Linked DNA regions of Stegostoma tigrinum. The main gene of each other region encodes a partner of the protein of the gene in region 3 in a complex. Links are inferred from orthologs where the notes say so. Each region holds a gene or a part of one and is shown on either strand. Other genes may lie near its edges.

Region 1 (7,618 bases), on a different chromosome or scaffold from region 3:
ATGTAACAATGATAAATCAAAGCAAACTCTTTACACCACATGAAGTTTACATCAAATTTGATGGTCATCAAATTCAATTCCCACCATATTTTACATCCCCTGAAGGTGATTTGGACTGTATGAAATTACATTTTGAGCAAATTTAATTTGCAAGTTATTTACTCTGTACCCACTTCAATCAATGCCACATCTAATTAACATTGTTTCCCACTTACACTAGGCTTCACATTCACCTTCTTACACCAAGCATGATTTACACTATTATTTACTCCCTGCCTTATCGCTGAATCACAATTTGCACTACTTACATGTCCCACCATGTACACAGAATGCTAATTGGAATTTGCTGCTCAGCAGGAGTTTTTCCAGGTTCCTTTAAATGTTTTCATGATTTATTTCACCCCTTGTTTAAAGCCTGTCCAATTTTGCAATCATTTAGTTGAACCACGTTTACTGTCACAGGAACTTCCCCAAGGTCTCCAAAATTACATGATCCACATTAGGAGAAATGAGTGAAAATCTTCATAGCCAAAGTGACACTTTCAAAATATCCTGTCCATGCTTGTTCCTTTTCTTGTTCATCAGTTACCCAAGCATTTCCAGTGTAACTGTTTTAAATTTGTAAGATTCTCCTTGATCCTTTTGAGGCAAATATACTCATCTTCAGGATGGAAATGGGATAAGCTCATATTCATTCACACATTGTTCTCTCTCCAAGCTTTTAACATTGTTTTTCTGGTTGTCTTGTCATTTTCCGTTCTCAAATATCGCTGGAATCGCTCAGCAAACAGATGTTTTCATGTTACCCATTTCTGCTCCTGAGAGTTAGTTTGCACAACTGCTGTTCTTGATATTCTGCTTCTGATGGTGACCCCCATTTCTTCTATCCTTTGGTTGCTGTGAGAACATTGTTTCTTATCCTCCTTTTATTGGTTTCCAAACTCTCCATTTCTCTTCACTCTAGATTTTTGCGTTAAATGTTTTTTTCTACTGGACAGCCAATGCCATGTCAGAGTATTAAAGGCAGAGGAGGACATAGAACATGGAGAAAATGAACAGGAGTAGGTCATCTGCCCTTTGAGACTGCTCAATATGATCACACTTAATCATTCGGTCCCTTGTTCCCTGCTTTCTCACCTCCTTCTGCAGCATTACTCCTTTAGCCCCAGGAAATATTTCTAACTCCGTCTTGAAAAAAATTAATGTTGTGACTTCAACTACTTTCTGTGGCAGAGAATTACACCGTCTGGGTGAAGAAATTTCTCCTCATCTTATTCCCAAATGTCCTACCCTCTATTCTTAAACTCTGACCCCCCTTACTGGACTCCCCACTCTGGGATTATCATTCCTCCACATTTACCCTGTCTAGATTCCCTCAGCTTAAACCGTGTTCCAATGATCCCTTCACTATTCCCTTTTCCATGTGAAGACTATACTGAGTTTTCTCTTTGCCAGGATTAGAGGATTGAAACTTGAGCCAACTTCTATCGTTTTACCCTTGTTGATACCCAGGGACTTTGGCCTTAATAGGCAGTCAGGATCAGACATGGCACAACATGATGCATCATTTTGTCCCTTTAGTGTAGGGGTTATCATATTCTGTCAAACGTCACTAGAATTCACTGTCCCTGTATGAAGGCAATCTGACTTGCTCCCATTTGCTGCTAAATGTTAACGGGACTCATTTTAAGTGACCTGCAGCACGGTAGTAGTTTCAGCGCCTCTGGACCAGAAGGGCTGGGTTCAAAACACTCTTAAAAGGAAGAACAATGACAGGGCATAGGTTTAAAGTGATTAGATTAGATTAGATTAGATTCCCTACAGTGTGGAAACAGGCCCTGCGGCCCAACAAGTCCACACCTCCCCTTGGAGCAACCCACCCTGACCCATCCCCCTATAACCCACACGCCACTGAACACTACGGGCAAAGCAAGGAGGAAGTGAGAAAAATCTTTTCCACATTGTGACTAGTTAGGGTCTGGAATGCACTGCCTAGAAATATGGTAGAGGCAGGTTCTACTGAGGCATTCAAGACAGCAATTGTTAGAAATGGGGGGCTGGGATAGGGGGATAAGACAGGAGACTGGCATGAGCTAATAGAACCATTGCAAACAGGATAGTCTGGACTGCATCCTTCTGCAGCATTACAATTCTGGAACTCTCCGGAAGTCCCATCCAGACAGCTAGGAAATGTATCTTAGCTTATCTGATTATAACATCTATAACCCGATATTCTTGCTCCAAACTTTTAACTTTGCTCGTTGAGCAAAGTTTGCACTAAGCAATGCAAGCGGTTTATCAAGTCACACATGTAATTCTTACACTTTATCGCATCCGCTGTAGATAAATTAACTTAAAGCCTCATTAATATCTATCTGCGGAATATCCCATTGAATTTTCCCCACATACAGCTTCTGAGCAAACAAGGGCTTGAACTGGCAATGAACTCATGTCTCCTGATCCCTGAAATTGGACCAAGCAATGAACCAGTGGATGAAAACACATCGGGATCTTACCTCCAAGTGTGGCGAAGAAGCCTTCAAAGTTACAACCAGTTGGTCCAAAGATGAAATAGCCATTCATTGAGGTGATGGTGGTGGTAGTGAATCCACCAAAGACCATGAAGAGATCAGAAACAGCCAGGTTGAGGAGGATGTAGTTAAGAGGCTGCCGAAGTTTCTTGTGCTGGATGGTGACGTACAGGGTGAGGAAATTGATGGGGAACCCTGTTATAATCAGGAAGAACATGTAGGCTGCCAGCACGGAGAATTTCCAAGGCTCAGCCAGGTAGTACTGCGGGTATTCGAATGGGCTCCTAACCACACCTGTCTTGTTGGACATGGGTATATAGAAGTTCTCTCCTTCGGTGCCATTCATGGTTGCAGCTTGTTGTGCAGCTCAGTCGAAGCAAACTTTCTCCTTACTTTCCCTCGATGGTGATCCTCTCTGAACCTGACCCGAACCAGCACAGGAACTGACTGACTTGAGCAATGACAGGCCACAATCAAACCCCCCCCACTCCAGGTCTCTGAGCCCCCTTATAAAGCCTTGGATTACTCTGACCCTGCCTGTCAGCAGAAAGCAATTTAAGCCACGGCAAAAGAATAATAATCCAGGCAGGAGCTGAGACGGTATCATTGAGCCATTAACACTCACACTGCTGCACTGGGCAGTGAGGCCTTTGCCCTGACAGCCTGCTCAGAAGTTGTCAAACATGGAAGAAATAAAAACACAAAGTTGATACAGGTCTGTGTCGGTGAGCAAATTTGCTAATTATGCCTGTATCTTCACGTCATTCCATCTGGGAGGGCCAGCATACACATGGAGATGAGCTTCATGTGTATGCTGGCAGTTCCCTGCTCCTTTAACACATCACCCTGTTCCCTGGCCAATATCTCTGTCTCTGGCTTACTGCAGTGTTCCAGTGAAGCTCAACACAAGCTGGAAAAACAACAACTGGTTTACTGCTTGAGGACCCTGCAGCCGTCCGGACTCAATATCGAGCTAAATAATTTTAGAGCCTATATTCTCCCACGTCCTAGGCCCTACCCCACATACCCAGGTCTTATTATCACATAGCTTGCCATTGCACACTACCTGTTGTTAGCCACTAGCAGCCTCTCTTAACAGCTATTCACCCCACTAGCCAGATCATTTTCAACTGCTTTGTCCAACTGTTCTTCTCTCTCTTTGAGCTCTTTCTTCTGCCTATTTTTTACTCCTTACCCCCTACCCCCACCCTGACTTCTGCATGCAAACCAACATTTTCCTAGCTCCCATCAATTCTGGGGAAGGGTTACCAGGTCCAAAACATTAACTTTGAGTCCTCTTTACAGATGCTGACAGACCTGCTGAGCTTTTCCAGCAACTTTGTTTTTGTGTCTGTTTTACAGCATCCGCAGTTCTTTTGGTGAATGTAAGGGTATTGTGCTGGTGTCTATTGTGTTGAATGGAACTGTTGGAATATCAGAATCTGGATTTGTGTTATTTTACAGGCTAGAACACATATAATAGCGAGTACTATAACCTGTATGAAGAGACTGTGCTTGCATTTTACACAGAAACATTGAAACTTAGAAACTAGGTGCAGGAATAGGCCACGTGGTCCCCTTGAATTTACACCACCATTCAATATGATCATAGCTGATTATGCACTCTCAGTATTCCACTCTTACTTTCTCTCCATACCCCTTGATCCACTTAGCCGCAAGGGTCACATCCAGCTCCCTTCTGAATATATCTAATGAACTGGCCCCAACAGCTTCCTGTGGGAGAGAATTCCACAGGTTCACAACTCTGAGTGAAGAAATTCTTCCTCATCTCAGTCCTGAATGGCTTACACCTTATTCGTACATTGTGACACCTAGTTCTGGACTTCCCCAACATCAGGAACATTCCTCCCATATCTAGCTTGTCCATTCTCATCAGGATTTGATGTTTCTAAAAACCACACCCCCAAATCCCATTCTTCTAAATTCCAGAAATAACAAGTCCAGTTGATCCAGTCTTTCCTCATATATCAGCCCTGCCATCCTGAAACCAGTCTGACGAATCTTCGCAGGATTCCCTAAATAGCAAGAATGTACTTCCTCAGACTAACAGACTAAAACTGCACATGGTACTCAAGGTGTGCCCTCACCAAGGCCCAGTATAACTGCAGTAAAACATCCTTACTCCGAACTCAAATCCTCTTGGTCTGAGGGCCAGCTGCTATTAGCTTTTCTCATTGCCTGCTGCACCAATACACCAACCTTCAGTGACTGTTCCTCCATGACACCCTGGTCTCATTGCACCTCACCTTTTCCTGAACTGCCACCATTCAGATAATAATCTGCCTTCCTGTTTTTGTGACCAAAGTGGATAACCTCACATTTATCCCCATTATATGGCATTTGCCACTCAGTTTGTCTGCCCAAGTCACCTTGCAGCCTCCTAGCACCCTCCTCACAGCAGACACGGACACCCAGCTTAGTATCATCTGAAAAGTTGGAGATATAGCATTCAATTCCTTTGTCCAAATCAGGAACATATATTATGAACAGCTGAGGACCCAGCACAGAACTCTGCAGCACCCGTTCATCACTGCCGATCACTCTGAAAAGGGCCCATTTATTCTAACTCTCTGCTTCCTGCCAGCCAGTTCTCTATCCACTTCAATACACTACCTCTGATACCTTGAGCTTTAGTTTTCCTTACTAATCTCTTGCATTGAACCTTGTCAAAAGCCTTTTGAAAGTCTAGATATACAACATCCACTGATTCATTCTTGTCCACTCTACTGGTCACATCCTCAAAGTCTTCCAGAAGATTTTTCAAGCATGATTTCCAGCATTCTGTAGACTCTGAAAGAGTTCCAATGGACTGGAGATTCCCTTTAGCAAATCCTTGGACCAATCCTGCCACCACTTTCCAAATGCTAAATTAATACTTAATAATTGACTTCAGCAATTTCCCCATCACTGATGTCAGGATAACTGGCCTATAATTCCCTACTTCCTCTCCCTCCTTTTTTAAAAAGTGTGTCACATTAGCTACTCTCCAGTCCATTGGAACTCTTCCAGAGTCAATAGAATGTTGGAAAATAATTACCAATATTTCTAGGGCTACTTCCTTACATGCTCTGGGATACAGAGCTGCAGGCCTCCCTGGGGAGTTATTGGGTTTTAATCCCATCATTTTCCCCAATACCATTTCCTGACTAAAGAAAATGTCCTTCAGTTCCTTCATGCTTGACCCTCTGCCCTCTAGCTTTTCCTGAAGGTTATTTGTGTCCTCATTAGTGAAGACAGATCCAAAGTATTTCAGAAGAAAGGTCCCAACCCGAAAAGCCAAGCCTTCCTGCTCCTCTGATGCTGCTTGGCCTGCTGTGTTCGTCCAGCTCCACACCTTGTATTCTCATATTCTCCAGCATCTGCAGTTTCTATTATCTCTGTCAGAGATCTACGTTTGTCTTCACCAGTTTTTTTTTCACTAATCAATAGAAGCTTTTGCAGTAAATTTTTTAATATTCTTTGCAAGCTTACTGTCTTTATTCTATTTTCCTCTTCCAAATTAAACCCTTTGTCCTCTGCTGAATTTTAGCAGAGCTGATTGTAATAATGGTGTCACTGTCCTATTGATGTAAATAGAGCCCATAATTATCAAGACAAATCTTTGAGAACAGAGATAATGGGAACTGCAGATGCTGGAGAATCCAAGATAAAAAAGTGTGGGGCTGGATGAACACAGCAGGCCAAGCAGCATCTCAGGACCACAAAATCAGAGAGCTCTCTGATGATGGGTCTAGGCCTGAAATGTCAGCTTTTGTGCTCCTAAGATGCTGCTTGGCCTGCTGTGTTCATCCAGCTCCACACTTTGTTAAATCTTTGAGAGCTACCAGTTGCTGATTATTTGAAGTAAGTGGGAGTGATTCCCATTGTTAGGTAAATATCTATCAGATCCAGAGGGACATCTCTGAGAGCAACAGTGTGGTTTGAGGAATGAGAGTGAATCTCTGTGAGGAACAGTGTGAATATGAGCAATGGGAGTGAATCTCTGTGAGAAACTGTCATGACTCCCTATGAGCTCTGGCAGTGTCTGTGGGGAGAAATCAGAGTTAACATTTTAGGTCAAGTGACCCTTCCTCAGAATTGATTAATTTCTGTTTTGCTTCGAATTTACAGCATCCCTAGTTCTTTCGGTTTCCATCAGTCGACGTGAACTGTCCATGCCTATGGTACAGTGCCATTCAAATTCAAGCACCTCAGTGTCAATATTCCTGACACTCAACTCTATTATATCTGTCAAGGTTCCCTGATTGGATCGAGATTCACAGACCTAACCAGGGAATCCAGTCCAGATTGTTGATCATGTTACAATCGCAATGAGGATCAGTGTGAATTTGAGCTATTGGAGTGATGTTCCATGAGAAATTGTGTGAGGTTGGGAATTGGAAGTCATTCTCTGAGGAACAGTGTAGGTTTTAAAGAATAGTGATGAATCTTTCTGAGGAACTGCGTGAGTGTGGGAATTGGGGATTGATTTCAGTGAGGAACAGTGTGGGTGTGAGAAATAGGTATCGATCTCAGTGAGGAATGGTGTGAAAGTGAGAAATAAGTACCGAGCTCAGTGAGGAACAGTGCGAGAGTAAGAAATAGGTATCAATCGAGTTTTGAGAAGATTTGTAGCTCAGGCTGAGGTTCTGGATTGAGTTTGCTCGCTGAGCTGGAAGGTTCGTTTTCAGACGTTTCGTCACCATTCTGGGTAACATCATCAGTGAGCCTCCGATGAGGCGCTGGTGTTATGTCCCGCTTTCTATTTCTCTGTTTAGGTTTCCTTGGGTTGGTGATGTCATTTCCTGCGTTGGTGATGTCACTTCCTGTTCTTTTTCTCAGGGAATGGTAGATTGGCTCCAAATCAATGTGTTTGTTGATGGAGTTCCAGTTGGGATGCCATGCTTCTAGGAATTCTCGTGGGTGTCGATCTCAGTGTGGAACAGCATGAGTATGAGAAATTGGTGTCAATCTCAGTCAGAAACATTGTGAGTGTGAGAAATAGGTGTCAATTTCAGTGAGAAATGGTATGAGTGAGAGAAATGGTGATGAATCTCAACGAGGAACAGTGCCAGCATGAAAAATAG
Region 2 (7,897 bases), on a different chromosome or scaffold from region 3:
TCAGGGTCAACTCCTTGTTCTGGAGTACCAACAAGTTTCAGGCAGACCAAAGAGCACCTTTCACCGAGTTGATGCTCCTCCAAGTACAGTCGATATTTGTCTCGGTATGTATCCTGCGAATAGATCATCGAGCGGGCAGAGTCAACAGTGATCCTCTCCATGCTGTGTACCATTGACCACAGGCTTTCTGGTGAGTTCCTGAATACATTACCCTTTTCATTGCATGTGCTCAACCATTGTCCTTGGTAGTCTGATTCTTCAAAATCATCATCTGACTTCTTTGCATCAGGACCCAGGGGTACCCTCATCCTCTGGTGATTTGCAATTGTTGCTATCCTTGTCCTCTGATCCAGCTCCAGGATACTTGTGCAAGTTCCATTCCCGAGCTTTGTGCAGTGTCACTGTCTGAGCTAGTGGCTGTGAATACTTGTGTTCCCTCTTCATCATTGTCCTCCTTACCTTTCTCCACTCAGTCTTCCATCACTGTTAAGTCCCTGAGGATCGGACAAGAGAAAGACACAAGGCTTGTGTTGTGTTGAGGGTCAGCGGAGAGGGAAAGGGGCAGCGAGAAGTGTGTGATTAGACCCCGTGCAGCTTTTTAAATCAGGGGAGATTGGGAGGTGAGAGGAAGCTGTGAAAGAGGATTCAGTGTAAGTCCATCTCTGTGCAAATAAATACGTACAGCCAGTCCTGTCCCCTGCTTCTCAAAAGCTGTGCTCCCAGTTACAGCCCCAACTTGCTCATTGAGAGAGTTGGAGCTGTGCCTGTGAGCCCATCGCAATGTGCTTATGTGATTTATCTGCCACGGTTCAAGAGCTGGCAGTTTTGCGAATCATGAGATGCATGACTAAGTGTGAGATCGGTGTGGTGGCAAATGTGAAGCATGGGTAATGACTGATAGTGATTATTGATAGGCGAGTGAAGGGGGTTGGTGAACAGAGCAGTGTCTGAGGTTAGTCATAAAATTCAGTTGTGAGAATATGAAATTTGAAGATATTTTCTCTGAATTTGAGCACTTATTTGAGGACATTGAGCTCACAGCACTGCATCCAGGTCCTTCCAGCAACAATAGATATGTTGACTATGAAACCTACCTGCTCCCATAGCCTTCTCAGCCTTAATATAGAGGGGTCTCCAAAGCCCACCTGGATGGAAGCCGTCTCCCCTCTTCTCCACCTTTGGCATTAGCATCTCCAGTGCTGGACCTGAAACTCTTGATTAGTCAGTGTTCCTCCTCCGCAAAACCACCAGTTAATTCCATCAGCTGTTCTAGCCAGAACGTATCTTCCCTACAAAGTGCAGTTTGTCTTTAAGTTGTGGATACCAGCTTTAAGTGGTGCTAGCCTATACAGCTACCAAGAGCACTGCACTCAAATATCATGGAAGTCAGCAGGTTGTTTGAAAATCACAAACCGCCTGCATTCAAAAGAATATGCATGTCATGATCCCTACATTTGTTTCCAGGTCAAATGTTACCCCTCCTGCTTTTAAGTACAGCCCTTCATGATCTTGAGACATCTGAATGCACCATGAAGTGCTTCTGAAGGACAACGATATGAAACATGAACATTGTTAAAAGATTTGAAAGGTCAAACATCACATCCCAATTGCCATTCCATTGTATTTTTGTTCAGTCGTATTCCAACACAGAGTGCAATGAAGCAGATACTGCTCATTAAGTTGAGCTTTAATATATTTACAAATTCCAGTCACATTCCGAAGTCATCACAACTATTAATGTAACATAATGCAACAGTGACTAAACCATCAAAAACTCTTCCATATTTCCACTATATCCACATGGACTGCTACTGGCAATTTGATCAGTCTCCTATCTAATAAGTCCTTTGCTGTTGTAATACATATCCCAACTGAAATGTTAATAGATACTTTTACTTATGATGAATGTTATCTTTATAGATCGTGCTATTGGTGTGTTGTGCTCTACATTTAATTAATTTGCTACAAACTTAATGTATTCATTCCCTTGATGCTATTCAAATCAGACCAGAGGATTTTTCCAGTAATCGAGTTAATATTCCTTCTATGATCAACACCATGAAAAACACATGATCTAATTTACGTTCATTGGCTGGTTTTCTCAAACTTTGCAGCCAGTATATTTTGTGTTCAGTCCAGTTGTATAGACATGGCTATGCTTTAAAAGCAAAGTGCCTAAGGATGCCTTGGGATTATGCTTCAATGCATTAGAAATAAAAACAATTTCAAGATTTTGTTTTGCAGTGAATGCATAACTTGAAGTTATTGCTGAGTTAAGTTGTATAATGGTAGAATGTGCGATGTGTTCATTTTTATATGGTAACCCCATGATTGTCTTGAGAAAGATGGGAAGGAGAAAAGAAATAATATCAGCTCACTCATCTCCGGCTATTTCTGCAGATAATGGTCACCGCCTGCAGGAGAGGCCTTGATTGGAAAGGTTGCACTCAAAATATGCTCTGTAGCTGAATGGTAAGCATTAAGGGAAATAGAGAGAAGAAAATAACACCAAGATGGGATGTGAGTTATTCACCAATTTACTAAACTGACATGGTGCAGTTTTGGGCATCGATTTAAAGTTTAGCCATACCTTAACAATTTCCAGTACTTCTTCCTTGTTGATTGTGCCGTTGCCATCCACATCATAGAGAGAAAAAGCCCACTCAAGCTTCTGTGACATCTTTCCAGAGGAGGTGAGGTGAAGGGCAATGATGTATTCCTTAAAATCCAGTGTCCCATCACTGTTGGTGTCAAAGCTCCTGAAGACATGGTGAGCATAATCTTTGGGGTTTGCATCTGGGAAGAAGCCAGAATAGATCTTCTCAAATTGTGCCATGGTGATCAAGCCAGTTGGGCACTCCTTCAAGAATGTCTTGTACCATAAGGAGAGCTCCTCTTCTGTGTACTTGGTGTTCATTTTGAGGTCTTCCAAGATACTCTTGGACAGGGCACTACTTTTAGAGTTTCCCATTCCTACTCACACAGCCTAGAAGATGCAAAGGACTACACAAGACCTCTTCTGACTCACTAAAGACCGTACAGACTGATTGCAGAACTATATTTATGAGAACAGATTAAGCTTTATGGATTAAAAGGATTAGTCTTTATCTCCTTGCCTGACATTCACAAAGGCAGCAAAATTTTTACATACATTGCAAGCTAAATAGCTAATGGAAATAACTGACACAAAACCTAAAATACCTTAAAATTATAATCAACATCTGTGCTTGCAGACAGTTCATTTTCTGTACAATGTTACTTTGCAGTAACACATGTTGTTAATTTACTAATCCATTGATTATTTGTATTCACAGAGAATGGAATTGTTGGTTATTTTTAACTTTGTTGTCAGGGTGTGGATAAACTGCTAAGTTGAAATTTGTTGTTAAGTTACGTATGGAAGTATAGGAAATAGGAGCAGAAGTCGGCTGTTCAGACAATCAAAACCACACAGCCACTCGACAAGATCGTGGTTCATCCTTTATCTCAAGCAGAAACAGGCCAAGCAACACAACAGGTTGCTGCTCCACTTAAGCTTTCTCCTATCTTTACTCATTTAGTTATATCACGTAACCCTGTATTCACTTCTCCCTTATAAGCTTGCACAGGATTACATAAGATTCACAGAAAATATAGTTGCCCTGAGAAAAGTGTAAGTGTTCACGTGGAACCACTCTATTTCTTGTGGTGGTCCTGTTAATCCCATAATGGATTTTGACTCAGTCGCAATGCTGAAAACAGTCGTAGAAATCCAAGACAGATTGGTATGTGATTTAAAGGGGAACTGGGACGTGACAATCCTACCCAAAATCCACAAACTGGTCGACTCCGCCTGCTCCTGCCCAACAAACTTATCTCCACCTATCTCGACTCTATTTTCTCCCCCTTAGTTCAGGAAATCCTTACCTACACCACCCATGCCCTTTACCTCCTCCAGAACTTCCAATTCCCTGGTCCCCAACACCTCATCTTTCCCAAGGACGTCCAGTCCCTATACACCTGTATTCCCCATGCAGATGGCCTAAAGGCCCTCCACTTCTTCCTGTCCCACAGGCCCAACCAATCCCCCTCCACCAACACCCTCATCCACCTAGCCGAACTCGTCCTCACCCTCAACTTCTCCTTCAATTCCTCCCACTTCCTACAGACAAAGGGGGTGCCATAGGTACCCGCATGGGTCCAAGCTATGCCTGCCTCTTTGTAGGTTACGTGGAACAGTCCCTCTTCTGTAGCTATACTGGCCCTAAACCCCACCTCTTCCTCCGTTACATTGATGACTATATCGGTGCCGCCTCGTCTTCCCCCGAGGACTCGAACAGTTCATCCACTTCACCAACACCTTCCACCCCAACCTTAAGTTCACCTGGACCATTTCTAACACCTCTCTATCCTTCCTGGACCTCTATTTCTCCATCTCTGGCAACCACCTAGAAACCAATATCCATTTTAAGCCCACCGACTCCCACAACTACCTAGAATACACCTCCCCCCACCCACCTTCCTGCAAAAATGCCATCCCCTATTCCCAATTCCTTTGCCTCCACCGCATCTGGTCCCAGGATGAGACTATCCACTCCTGTACATCTCAAATGTCCTCGTTTTTCAAGGACCACGACCTCCCCCCACAGTGGTCGAGGATGCCCTCGACCATGTCTCCCGCATTTCCCGCAACTCATCCCTCACACCCCCTCCCTGCAATAACAACCAAAGCAGAATCCCCCTCATCCTCATGTACCACCCCACCAACCTCCGGATCCAACACATCATCCTCCGACATTCTCATCTGCAATCCCACCCCACCACCCAAGACATTTTTCCCTCCCCACCCTTATCTGCTTTCCGAAGGGACCACTCTATCCATGACTTCCTTGTCCACTCCACACTCCCCTCCAGCACCACCACATCCAGCACTTTTCCCTGCAACCACAGGAAGTGCTACACCTGCCATCACACCTCCCCCGCCTCACCCTATCCCAGGCCCCATATCTGCTAATGTGGTATACTGCGTTGTGGCCTCCTCTACATCGGGAAAGCCAAGCGGAGGCTTGGGGACCGTTTTGCAGAACACCTATGCTCGGTTTGCAATAAAAAACTGCACCTCCCGGTCACGAATCATTTCAACTCCCCCTCCCATTCCTCAAACGACATGCCCATCCTGGGCCTCCTGCAGTGCCACAATGATGCTACCCGAAGGTTGCAGGAACAGCAATTCATATTCTGCTTGGGAATCCTGCAGGCCAATGGTATCAATGTGGACTTCACAAGCTTCAAAATCTCCCCTCCCCCTACTGCATCCCAAAACCAGCCCAGCTCGTCCCTGCCTCCCTAACCTGTCCTTCCTCCCACTTATCCCCTCCTCCCACCTCAAGCCCCACCCCCATCTCCAACCTACTAAACTCATCCCACTCCCTTGACCTGTCCGTCCTCCCTGGACTGACCTATCTCCTTCCTACCTCCCCACCTACACTCACCTTTACTGGCTTCATCCCCGCCTCTTTGACCTGTCTGTTTCCTCTCCATCTACCTTCTCCTCTATCTATCTACTATCCACCTCCCCCTCTCTCCGTATTTATTTCAGAACACACTTTGCCTCCCAATTTATGAAGAAGGGTCTAGGCCCGAAACATCAGCCTTCCCGCTCCTCTGATGCTGCTTGGCTTGCTGTGTTCATCTAGCTCTACATCTTGTTATCTCAATATTACACATGTCCTTTTTATTTGTTCTTTGAATGGTGAAGCAGACTCAGTGGGATGAATGGCCTACTTCTGCACATGCATCTCACTGTCTTGTACCCTTATGACTCGTTCAAGCCCAGATATTGTCCAGGTTACTGTATGTGGGAATGAATTGCTTCAGTACATGAGAAGTTGTGAACAACACTGCAATAAATAAGTGAGCATCCACATTTCTGCACTAACGCTAAAGGGAAAATCATTGATAAAACATCTCAGAATAATATTTCACGGAAACGCCTCGAGGAAAAGTCTTATGGCTGACATAGTTATCTTCCAACAAGCAAACTCAACTTCCTTTGTGCTAATAATGACTATGAACAGCAGAGAGTTTCAAAAACAGCCATGATGATAAGGTCAACCACTCTTACCTTGCTACTGAAATTCAGCTTTTATACCCATGTTTGGGCCAAAATTGAATATAATGCAGTCTATAGCTGAGTGGCTCTGGTAAAATCCAAATTGAGAAACTCAGTGACAGAAATTACAGAGCAGGCAGGAGGTACCAAACTAAATAAAACCAAAGAACTATGGATGCAGGAAATTAAGAGGTGCTGGAAGATCTTCCTGCACCTTCATTAAACTTCTCATTGCACATGATCTGGATTTGCTTGTTTGGATATGAAGAATTCCATTTCAACCTGATGCAATGTAATGTTTACTTGTATAGCAAGTCAATCGAAGCAAATTCGCTCAGATATTTAGAAGCAGTAGTATTTCAGTTAGACAAGAATCTAGCGTTAAATTACCGGCTTCTATTTCCACACTATTTTTGTCACACATTCCACTGTTATTTTTGTTGAAACAAGACTATATGTGTCTACTAAATGATAACCCAAAAATGGATACAAAGGAAATAAATAATCCTTAAATATTAAATCAAATTTTGCAGCAGTCTGACTTTACCTGTGAAGTCATTTGGCAAAAAACGTTAATCAGTGCAGTCTGTAGCAAAAACCATCGTTATGCAGCTTGGCACTAGAAATGTCAATTGCAACAAAGAAATGCATCTTCTTTCAAAAAAAAATCACATGAAATGTCTTTTTTGGACAGATAACCTACACACTCAAAACTATAAAACTTCTATGACACTGACTGGTTTCCAGTTTAGGCGTGAGTCTTCAAACAAAAAACCAAAAGAACTGCAGGTGCTGTTTATCAGGAACAAAAACAGAAGTTGCCAGAAAAGCTCAGTAGGTCTGGCAGCGTCTGTGAAAAAAGCAGAGTTAAAGTTTTGGGTCTGCTGACCCTCCCACAGAACTGTAGGGGTGAGTCTTTATTGGGAGTGGGTACAGACTTCCCTCCTGCCAGCTGGGGTGCCAACTCCCTGTTTTCTGGGTGGCAGGATGTAGGGGTTGGAAGGGTTACCCAACTGCAAGCAGTAGGCAGCTACTGGACCTTGTGAAAGATAAAATAATGCAAATTGTTGAGGGTCAACTGGAAACTCTGTGTCATCTAATGTCCCTAAAGGTCTGGGGGAACTATGGTGCAAGTCACCTTCTGCTCCAGGCAGTTTTAAAGGCCCTCCACATCCACCTGACTCCAGGCACAGCTCCCTGTATTGCTGAAAACACTTCACGATGGTGGCCCAGTTAATCAGATTTTTTAAAAATAGAACTTTTGAAAAGTTTGAGATGGGGCTTCCATCTTCCAGTACCCTCTTTCTCACTTCCTTGAAAGACTCACCCCTCTTCCTTCTGAGCTAAATGAGAACCTATTGGCCATCCAGTTTCAAGAGCCTGCTCATTATCCTATTGGGCAGCAAGGCTGCTGACTTGTCATAACTTGAGCAATTTAGGGAAAATCAGAGGCAAGTGACTATTCCTCACAGACTTTGACCTCTTGACCCCCATTTGAGCCTAAAGTCAATGGGGAAATCATGCACCTTCAGTTTGATCCTTAGTTTGGTCTCTTTTGTGTATATAAAACACAAAATCAAATAGATAGATGATGTAATGTCAGAATATCATTTTCAAGTGGATCGTGTCAGTAGAAACACAGAATGCAAATACAAAAGTAAATTCAGAACAAACATTAGTAATAGCTCCTTTACTCAGAGGGTATTTAGTGTAAACTAACAGACAGGCAGCAACATTACAAGCATTAAAATTAGAAATTGATGGTAAGATGAGAGACTTTCGAAGAATAAGCCACAATTTTTTTTT
Region 3 (7,518 bases):
TGTGGAGACAAAGACCCACTCTCACATTGAGAATAACCTCCATCATATTGTGTGGCACTATCACTGTGCTCAATGGGGCAGACTTCAAACAGATCCAGCAACTCAAGACTGGTCATCCATGAGGTGCTGTGGACCATCAACAGCAGCAGGATTGTACTTCAGCACAATCTGTAATCTCATGGCCTGACATATCCCCCGCTCAACCATTACCATCAAACCAAGGGATCATCCCTGGTTCAATGGAGAGTGTAGAAGGGAATGCCAGGAGCAGCGCCAGGCATACCTGAAGATAAGGTCTCAATGTAGTGATCTACCAAACAGGATGACTTTCATGCCAAACAGCATAAGTGGCTACCATCCCACAACCAGTGGATCAGATCTAAACTCTGCAGTCCTGCCGTATCCAGTCATGAATGGTGTTGGACAGATCAAACAATTCACTGGGGTGGAGGCTTCACAAATATCCCCATCCTCAATGATGGAAAAGCCCAGCACATCAATGCAAAATTTGAGGCTGAAGCATTTGCAATAATCCAGTGCGACTGGATGATCTACTTTCACTTCCTCCAGTGATTCCCAACATCACAGGTACCAGTCCGCAGCCAATTCGATTTACTTCACGAGATATATAAAAAAAGTTGGAGGCACTGGATAGTGCAAAGTTTTTTTTTATTCAGTTGTGGGATGTGAGCATCGCTGGCTGGGCCAGAATTTATTGCCCACCCCTAGTTGCCCTTGAGAAGGTGGTGGTGAACTGCCTTCTTGACCCACTGTAGTCCTCCTGCAGTGGGTTGACCCACAATGCCCTTAAGAGAGGGAATTCCAAGATTTTGACCCAGCGACTATGAGGGAGCAATGACATATTTCCAAGTCAGGATGGTGAGTGGCTTGGAAGGGAATTTGGAGGGAGTGGTGTTCCCATCTGTCTGCTGCCCCTGTCCTTCTAGATGGAAGTGGTTGTGGGTTTGGTAGGTGCTGTCTGAGGATCTTTGGTGAATTTATGGGCCTAACAACTACCTGATTGATGCATCTGCCCACCTACTTTCATTGACTAGTGTACAAAGACATCCAGATCCCTTTGTACATCCACATCTCTCAATATTTTACCATTTAAACAATAATAGACCTGTACACAATACTCCAAATGCGGCCTAACTGAAGTTCTATACAGCTGCTACAAGCATTGCCAATTTTTATACCGTGTGCCCAGAATGATGAAGGCAAACGTGCCTTATACCTTCTTTACCACCAATTCCACTTCTGTTGCCAGTTCCAAGAAACTGTGGACCTGTATACCTAGATCCCTCGTCTGTTGATGAAACTGAAGATTTAGCCATATATTGTCTACTTTCCCCTGATATTAGATCTTCCAAAAGTGCATCACCTCACATTTTTTCAGATTAAATTCCACCTGCCATTTCTCGGCCCAAGTCTCCAGCCTCTCTATATCCTGTTATATCCTCTGACAATCCTCTTCACCATCCACAACTCCCCCAATCGCAAATGTACTAATCGTTATCGTTCTCAATTTTTCACATTCCCAATTGACACGGCGCCTCCATGGAGTGAGTGGGCTCACATCTCCACCCTCCTTTAAGGGAAAAAGAGTCATGCTCCATGTTCTAATCTCCTCTGTCCCCCCCCCCCTCTCCTGCTCTACTAGTGAGGAATGTTTCTCTCTCTCTCTGTTTAACCTTGGGAATGTTTGGTGGATTCCAGTTTCTACTCCCACATTATCCCACGGTTTTAGTATGGTTTTCCTTCTATTGTCTCTGTGATCCCTTTGCTAGCTTGGCGTTGTGTCATTCAAGCAATTATGTCATGTCACCTCCCCCTCCCCCACCCAAAATATCCATGTGTGCCCTTCCATTAATTAATCTTGGAATGATTTGCTTCATTTCAGCCATTGATTGCAACTGATACTTTGTGCGCTGTGTCTGAAATAATGAGTGGGACAGTGGTCTGGCAGTTATTGTTAAACCCCTGGTGCCAGTTAATCTGTTCAGAGGTCAGGTTCATAGGAAGGTTATTGAAATGATCCTTTTCAGCAGCTTACGGTGATGTTTTATCCAATTACTCTAACCCACATCCTACAAAGGATTGGCATTTATTGAATGTCATTTACCACAACAATTCGTCTGCTTCAATCTATTCCACCTTACCTGGTTTCCTTTTCTCTTCTTCAGTCTCTTCTTGTTCAGCTTTTTGCAAGCATACAATTTCCCTGTGGCCTTCATCTGACAAGCAGACACCTCGCCAAACCCTCCCTTCCCCAAGACCCGAAACTCCAGGAACCAGTCCTCCCCAATGGGTTGAGCCTCCAGCCACTTCCACTGCAAGAACCTCATGAAATACATGCTCTCCTTGTAATGCTCGAAGGGACTGTCCTCCTTTAAGAATTTCATGGTGGCCTCTTTGCACTCCCTGAAGAGATCCTCTCTGACATTCTCACAGTCCTCTTTCACTCTCAAGATGCTCTTTTCTTCCAAATAACTGCAGAAGAGCTCAGTCCCCGACTCCAAGAACTTGCTGATAATGTTTCGAGCTTTCTCGAGAAGACCTTCATCTTCTGCTGTGTCGTACACTTCAATAGCCTTCCAGAGTTCATTGGCCGGTTTGTACTCTGCCACTGAGTCTAAGTATTGCTGGAATAGCTTCTTCCCAATGGGCTGCTTGACACAGATGCTATCGAAGGCCAAGTCAATCTGCTCCTTCAGCGTTTCGCTCTGGGTGATGTGAGGGAGCTTCAGCTTGGCTCGATATTTCTTATCCCTGGTCATCTGCAGGTTGGCGGATCCATCGAAACTGCCCCGAGCTGAGATGTACGCGGAGTTGGCCACCACTGTCTGCAGACTCCCCAAATCCATCCTGATGTCTTTGGTTGCTAATTCACTTCAACCAGAGCAAAACCATGTGAGAGATAGAGAGGAGGGGGCGGTGGGGCTCAAAAAATGCACAGCAGGATCCCAACACTCTGGGGCCCTACAACATGCTCAACAACAGAGCAAACAAAAGGAACTGAGGAGAGGGGCTCAGTGTCTGTGCTGCTGACATGACTGACCCAGCCAGGGGTATGAAAGAATGGTGTGTCTTACACTTTCTCCGGTCTCTTTATCTTAATCCCATCCAATGCTTGTCTGTCTTTATTATAGAGGGCAGGTAGCAGCAATCAAAATAATCCTGAGTCAACATCTTAAATAAATATTTGATCCACTTATAAGTAATTCCACGTCAAGTAATTCCTCTCTTCCGCTGAAACGTCTATGTGTTTCTTTTTATATCTATCACTCTCGAATATTATAACTGTGTCACAGTAATTACCAACCACTCTTGACTATCATAACTGTGTCACACTAATTACCTCTCACTGTCTAATATTTTAAGAGTGGCACACTTAATTATCTATTACTTATTAATATTATAACTGTGTCACACTAATTATCCACTACTCTCGAATATTATAACTATGTCACACTAATTATCTATTACTCTTGAATATTATAACTATAACAGTATTTATCTATCACTCTCGAACATTATAACTGTCAGGCTACTATTGTTGTTGTATTAATGTCATGATTGTATCCCTTTCTAATATTAAGAGTCTCTAATATTGAAAGATACCACTCTCAATTGTTATCCCTGTGTCACTCTCCAATGTTACAACTATCATTCTCTAATACTATTACTTTATAACTCTCTAACATTATAAAGGAATTACTCTCTAAAGTTATCTTCGTAGCAATCTCTAATATTCTACTCAGTTTAATCCCACTCTTTCCCACATTCTCGCAATCCTTAATATCCCACCCAGTCTAATCCCACTTTCTCTTCACTCTGTCTCATTATAACTGGCACAGTATTTATCTATTACTCACTAATATTATGACTGTCACCTTATTTATCTTTCACTGTAGAATATTATAACTATAATATATATATAAACTGTCCTATAATAATATTATTATCACACTGATTATCCATCACTCTAACATTATAACAACGACACAAAATTATCTCGCTCTTTCTAATGTTATAATTGAGTCGAGCTAATTATCTATCACCCTCTAACATTACAACTGTCCCTCCCTATTGTAACTGTGTCACACTGATAGTATAGCTGTTGTGCTCTAATATTATATTGTAACTATCACTCTCTAATATTATAACTGTCACTCTCTGAATTAAAACTGTACTACTCTAATGGTATAGCTATTTCTCTCTAATATTGTAACTGTCACTCTGTAATATTGTGCCACATTGATAGTTTAGTGTCTCCCTCCAATATTGTAACTGTTACTCTCTAATACTACATTGCACTGTTGTGTCAGTTTTATATTATAATGGTGTCATTCTCAGTAACAAGTGTTATACTCTAATGTTAGAATTACACCACTCTTAAATGTTATCCCTGAATCACTCCTAAATATTACACCTGTTTTACTCTCTAACATTTTTACTCTAATACTGTTCAGTAGTATAATTGCATCACTATTAAATCACTTTCTAATATTAAGACTGTCTAATATTGAAAGTCACTTGTTATCCCTGTATCACTCTTCAATGTTACAGCTATTATTCTCTAATACTATTGCTGTATAACTCTTTAACATTATAAAGGAATTACTCTCTAAAGTTATCTTTGTAGCATTCTCCATATTCCCATTCATTCCCATACCCCTTAATATCCCACCAAGTCTAATTCCACTTCCTCCTCACTCCTCACACCCTTTAATATCTCACCCAGTCTAATCCTACAATTACACTAATTCAGTGTATTGCCCATTGTTATGAAGTAATATTTCTTTGGATTTGATCCAAGGCACATTTTGCAATGCATTTCTGACTTACTGCAGGCCAGAGCTGAACTGTTTCAACTACGTTGAAGTGAAATGAAATCCTGGGTTCCAGGAAGAAGTGCTGCATATCTTCAATATTTACTTTTATTGTAAAATTTAGAAGGACAGAGTAAGATGAGTAGAGTCTAAAATATAAGAAAGGACTGGTGTGGAAAGATCTAGGCTGGGAAATAGCCTATGTGAGAATGAACTAGTGTGAGAATAAATAAGTGTAGGAATTAGATAACATTTTAATATTCATTCAGGGGATGTACATGGGCCAGCATTTTTTTGCCCATCCCTAACCGCGCTTGAGAAGATAGCACTGATCTGCCGTCTTGAACCAATACAGTCGACATGGCATGGAGACCTCTGCAGTTCCATTTAACAACACTGAAGGAAGGTGATATATTTCCAAGTCAGGATGATGAGAGACATGGAAGGGACCTTACAGGTGTTCCCACCTATTTATTGCCCTACTCTTTCTGGACGGTAGTGGTTATGGGCTTGAAAGGTGCTGCCAGAGGACTCATAGAGTCACAGTATGGAAACAGGCTCTTCGGCCCAACTTACCCATGCTGCCAGTTTTCACAGTTAAACTAGTCCCATTTGTGCAGCTGTTCTCAAATAATGATGCAACATGGGCCACCCTCCAACCTTTGGGCATTTTACCTATGGCTGTCAATGATACAACTATCTCCACTAAGGGCTCTGTAATTTCCTCCCTAGCTTCCCGCAAAGTCCCGGGACACACTTCATCTGGTCCCGGGATCTTATGCACCTTAATGCGTATTAAGACTTCCATCATCTCCTCTTCTGTAATGTGTCTCTTTAAGACATTGCTATTTATTTCTCCAGGTTCTCAGCATCTATGGCCTTCTCCATGGTAAATCCTGACAAGAAATATTCTTTAGGATCTCACCTATCACTTGTGGCTCTGCACATAGATAACACTGTTGCACTTGGAGCATTGTGTACAGTTTTGGTCACTCTGTTATAAGACATAGTTAAACTAGAAAGTGTGGAAGGAAGATTTACTAGGATGTTGCGAGGACTAGTAGATCTGAGTTACAGGGAGAGGCTGGCCAGGACAGGACTTCATTCCTTGGAACAAAGGAGAACGAGGGGTGACCTTATTGAGGTGTATAAAATCATGAGGGGCATAGATAGTTTGAAGGCATGTAGTCTTTTTCCCAGGGAAGGGAATTGAAAATCAGAGGGCTGGGTTTAAGGTGAGGGGATAGATTTAAGAAGGACCAAGGAGCAACTTCTTCACACAGAGAGTGGTGCATATGTGGAATGGGCTGGCAGACAAAGTGGGTGAGGCAGGAACAAAAGCAACATTTAAAAAGCATTTGGATCGATATATGGATCAGGAGCATTTAGAGGGATATGGACCAAATGTGGACAATTGGAACTAGCTGAGTGTGCAGCATGGACCAGTTTGGGCCAAAGGGGCTGTTTCCATGCTGCATTACTCTATGACTCAATTTCCCGCTGCCTACTCTGTGTGTGTGTGTGTGTGTGTGTGTGTGTGTGTGTGTGTGTGTGTCGGGGGGGTGTGGGTGCTATAGTACAATCAGAGTCATCTCCTCCTTTTTACTTCTCAGTTCTACACACACAGACTCAGTGGACAAACACTCAAGAATGTCATCTGTCAGTACAGCCATGATGTTCTCCCTAATCAAAAATGCAATTCTCCCTCCTCTCTTGCCTCCCCTTCTATCCTTCCTATAGCATCTATAACCCAGAACATTGAGATACCAGACCTGTCCCTCCCTGAGCTATGTTTCTGTGATAGCTGTACTATCCCAGTCCCGTGTACCCATCCATGCCCGAGTTTATTTGCCTTACCTGCCAGTCCTCTTGCAATGAAATAAAGGACCCTTGTTGAATTTCTGCAGTGCGTCTTGTAGATAGTACACACTGCTGCTTTCGCCTGGATGATGTCAAGTTTTTTCTTTGAGTTGTACTCATCCAGGTAGGTGGGGAGTATTCCATCCATCACACTTCTGACTTGCGCCTTGTAGATAATGGGCAGGCTTTGGGAAGTCAGGAGATGAGTTACTCTTTACGGTATTCCTAGCCTCTGACCTGCTGTCATAGCCACAGTACAGTTTCTGGTTGATGGTGAGGGATTCAGAGGTAGTAAAAGAATTGAATGTCAAGGGAAGCTGGTAACATTCTCTCTGGTTGGAGCTGGTCATTGCCTGGCTCTTGTGTGGTGCAAGTGCTGTTTATAGTCATCAGCCCAAGATTGAACAATCTTGAGGTCTTTTGGCTTGCGTGCATGAACAGCTTCAGTATCTCAAGCATCGCAAACGGTGCTGAACCTCCCTGCTTCTGACTTTGTGACAGAGGGAAAGTCATTGATAAAGTTACTGCATTTTGTAGAGCCTAAGGAACCTCCTGTAGAGATGAGCTGGAGCTGGCATGTGGGTCAGTGGTTAGCACTGCTGCCTCAAAGCACCAGGAACGCAGGTTCAACCCACCTTTGGGTGACTGTCTGTGTAGAGTTTGCACATTCTCCCCATGTCTGCATGGGTTTCCGCCAGGTGCTCTGGTCTCCTCCCACAGTTTAAGGATGTTTAGGTTAGGTGGATTGGCCATGGGAAATGCAGGGATAAAATAGGGGGCATGTGGGTTGGATGCTCTTTGGAGAGTTGTTGTGGACTTGTTG

The links.
Region 1: the proteins of grk1a (region 3) and rhodopsin are in contact, whole or in part, in a cryo-EM structure (PDB 7MT8), measured with the Bos taurus proteins. The link is inferred for Stegostoma tigrinum from reciprocal best matches to the Homo sapiens genes GRK1 and RHO. Residues at the interface, in NP_776598.1 of Bos taurus: Leu6, Glu7, Thr8, Val9, Val10, Ser13, Ala14, Ile16, Ala17, Ala18, Arg19, Gly20, Asp23, Ala24, Glu184, Asp185, Trp186, Phe187, Leu188, Asp189, Phe190, Val192, Arg195, Glu200, Gln205, Met206, Lys207, Lys221, Arg222, Thr256; in NP_001014890.1 of Bos taurus: Lys66, Lys67, Arg69, Thr70, Arg135, Val137, Val138, Val139, Lys141, Ser144, Asn145, Phe146, Arg147, Phe148, Glu150, His152, Leu226, Thr229, Val230, Ala233, Gln236, Gln237, Glu239, Thr243, Ala246, Val250, Met257, Ile305, Tyr306, Met309.
Region 2: the proteins of grk1a (region 3) and recoverin-like are in contact, whole or in part, in an NMR structure (PDB 2I94), measured with the Bos taurus proteins. The link is inferred for Stegostoma tigrinum from reciprocal best matches to the Homo sapiens genes GRK1 and RCVRN. Residues at the interface, in NP_776598.1 of Bos taurus: Phe3, Gly4, Leu6, Glu7, Val9, Val10, Ala11, Asn12, Ser13, Ala14, Phe15, Ile16; in NP_776590.1 of Bos taurus: Lys22, Trp31, Ser34, Phe35, Glu38, Cys39, Phe49, Ile52, Tyr53, Lys55, Phe56, Phe57, Tyr86, Leu90, Thr93, Ser94, Phe188, Glu189.

Annotation. Positions count from the first base shown.
Region 1 is NC_081364.1:67,532,679-67,540,296, reverse strand, and holds the start of rhodopsin, read right to left. Parts: upstream 3,033-7,618; 5' UTR 2,878-3,032; coding exon 2,517-2,877; intron 1-2,516. UniProt on the Homo sapiens protein: Photoreceptor required for image-forming vision at low light intensity. Required for photoreceptor cell viability after birth.
Region 2 is NC_081375.1:46,580,001-46,587,897, reverse strand, and holds the start of recoverin-like, read right to left. Parts: upstream 3,035-7,897; 5' UTR 2,972-3,034; coding exon 2,591-2,971; intron 1-2,590. UniProt on the Homo sapiens protein: Acts as a calcium sensor and regulates phototransduction of cone and rod photoreceptor cells. Modulates light sensitivity of cone photoreceptor in dark and dim conditions.
Region 3 is NC_081365.1:77,174,656-77,182,173, forward strand, and holds the start of grk1a (rhodopsin kinase GRK1), read right to left. Parts: upstream 3,104-7,518; 5' UTR 2,868-3,103; coding exon 2,163-2,867; intron 1-2,162. UniProt on the Homo sapiens protein: Retina-specific kinase involved in the signal turnoff via phosphorylation of rhodopsin (RHO), the G protein- coupled receptor that initiates the phototransduction cascade.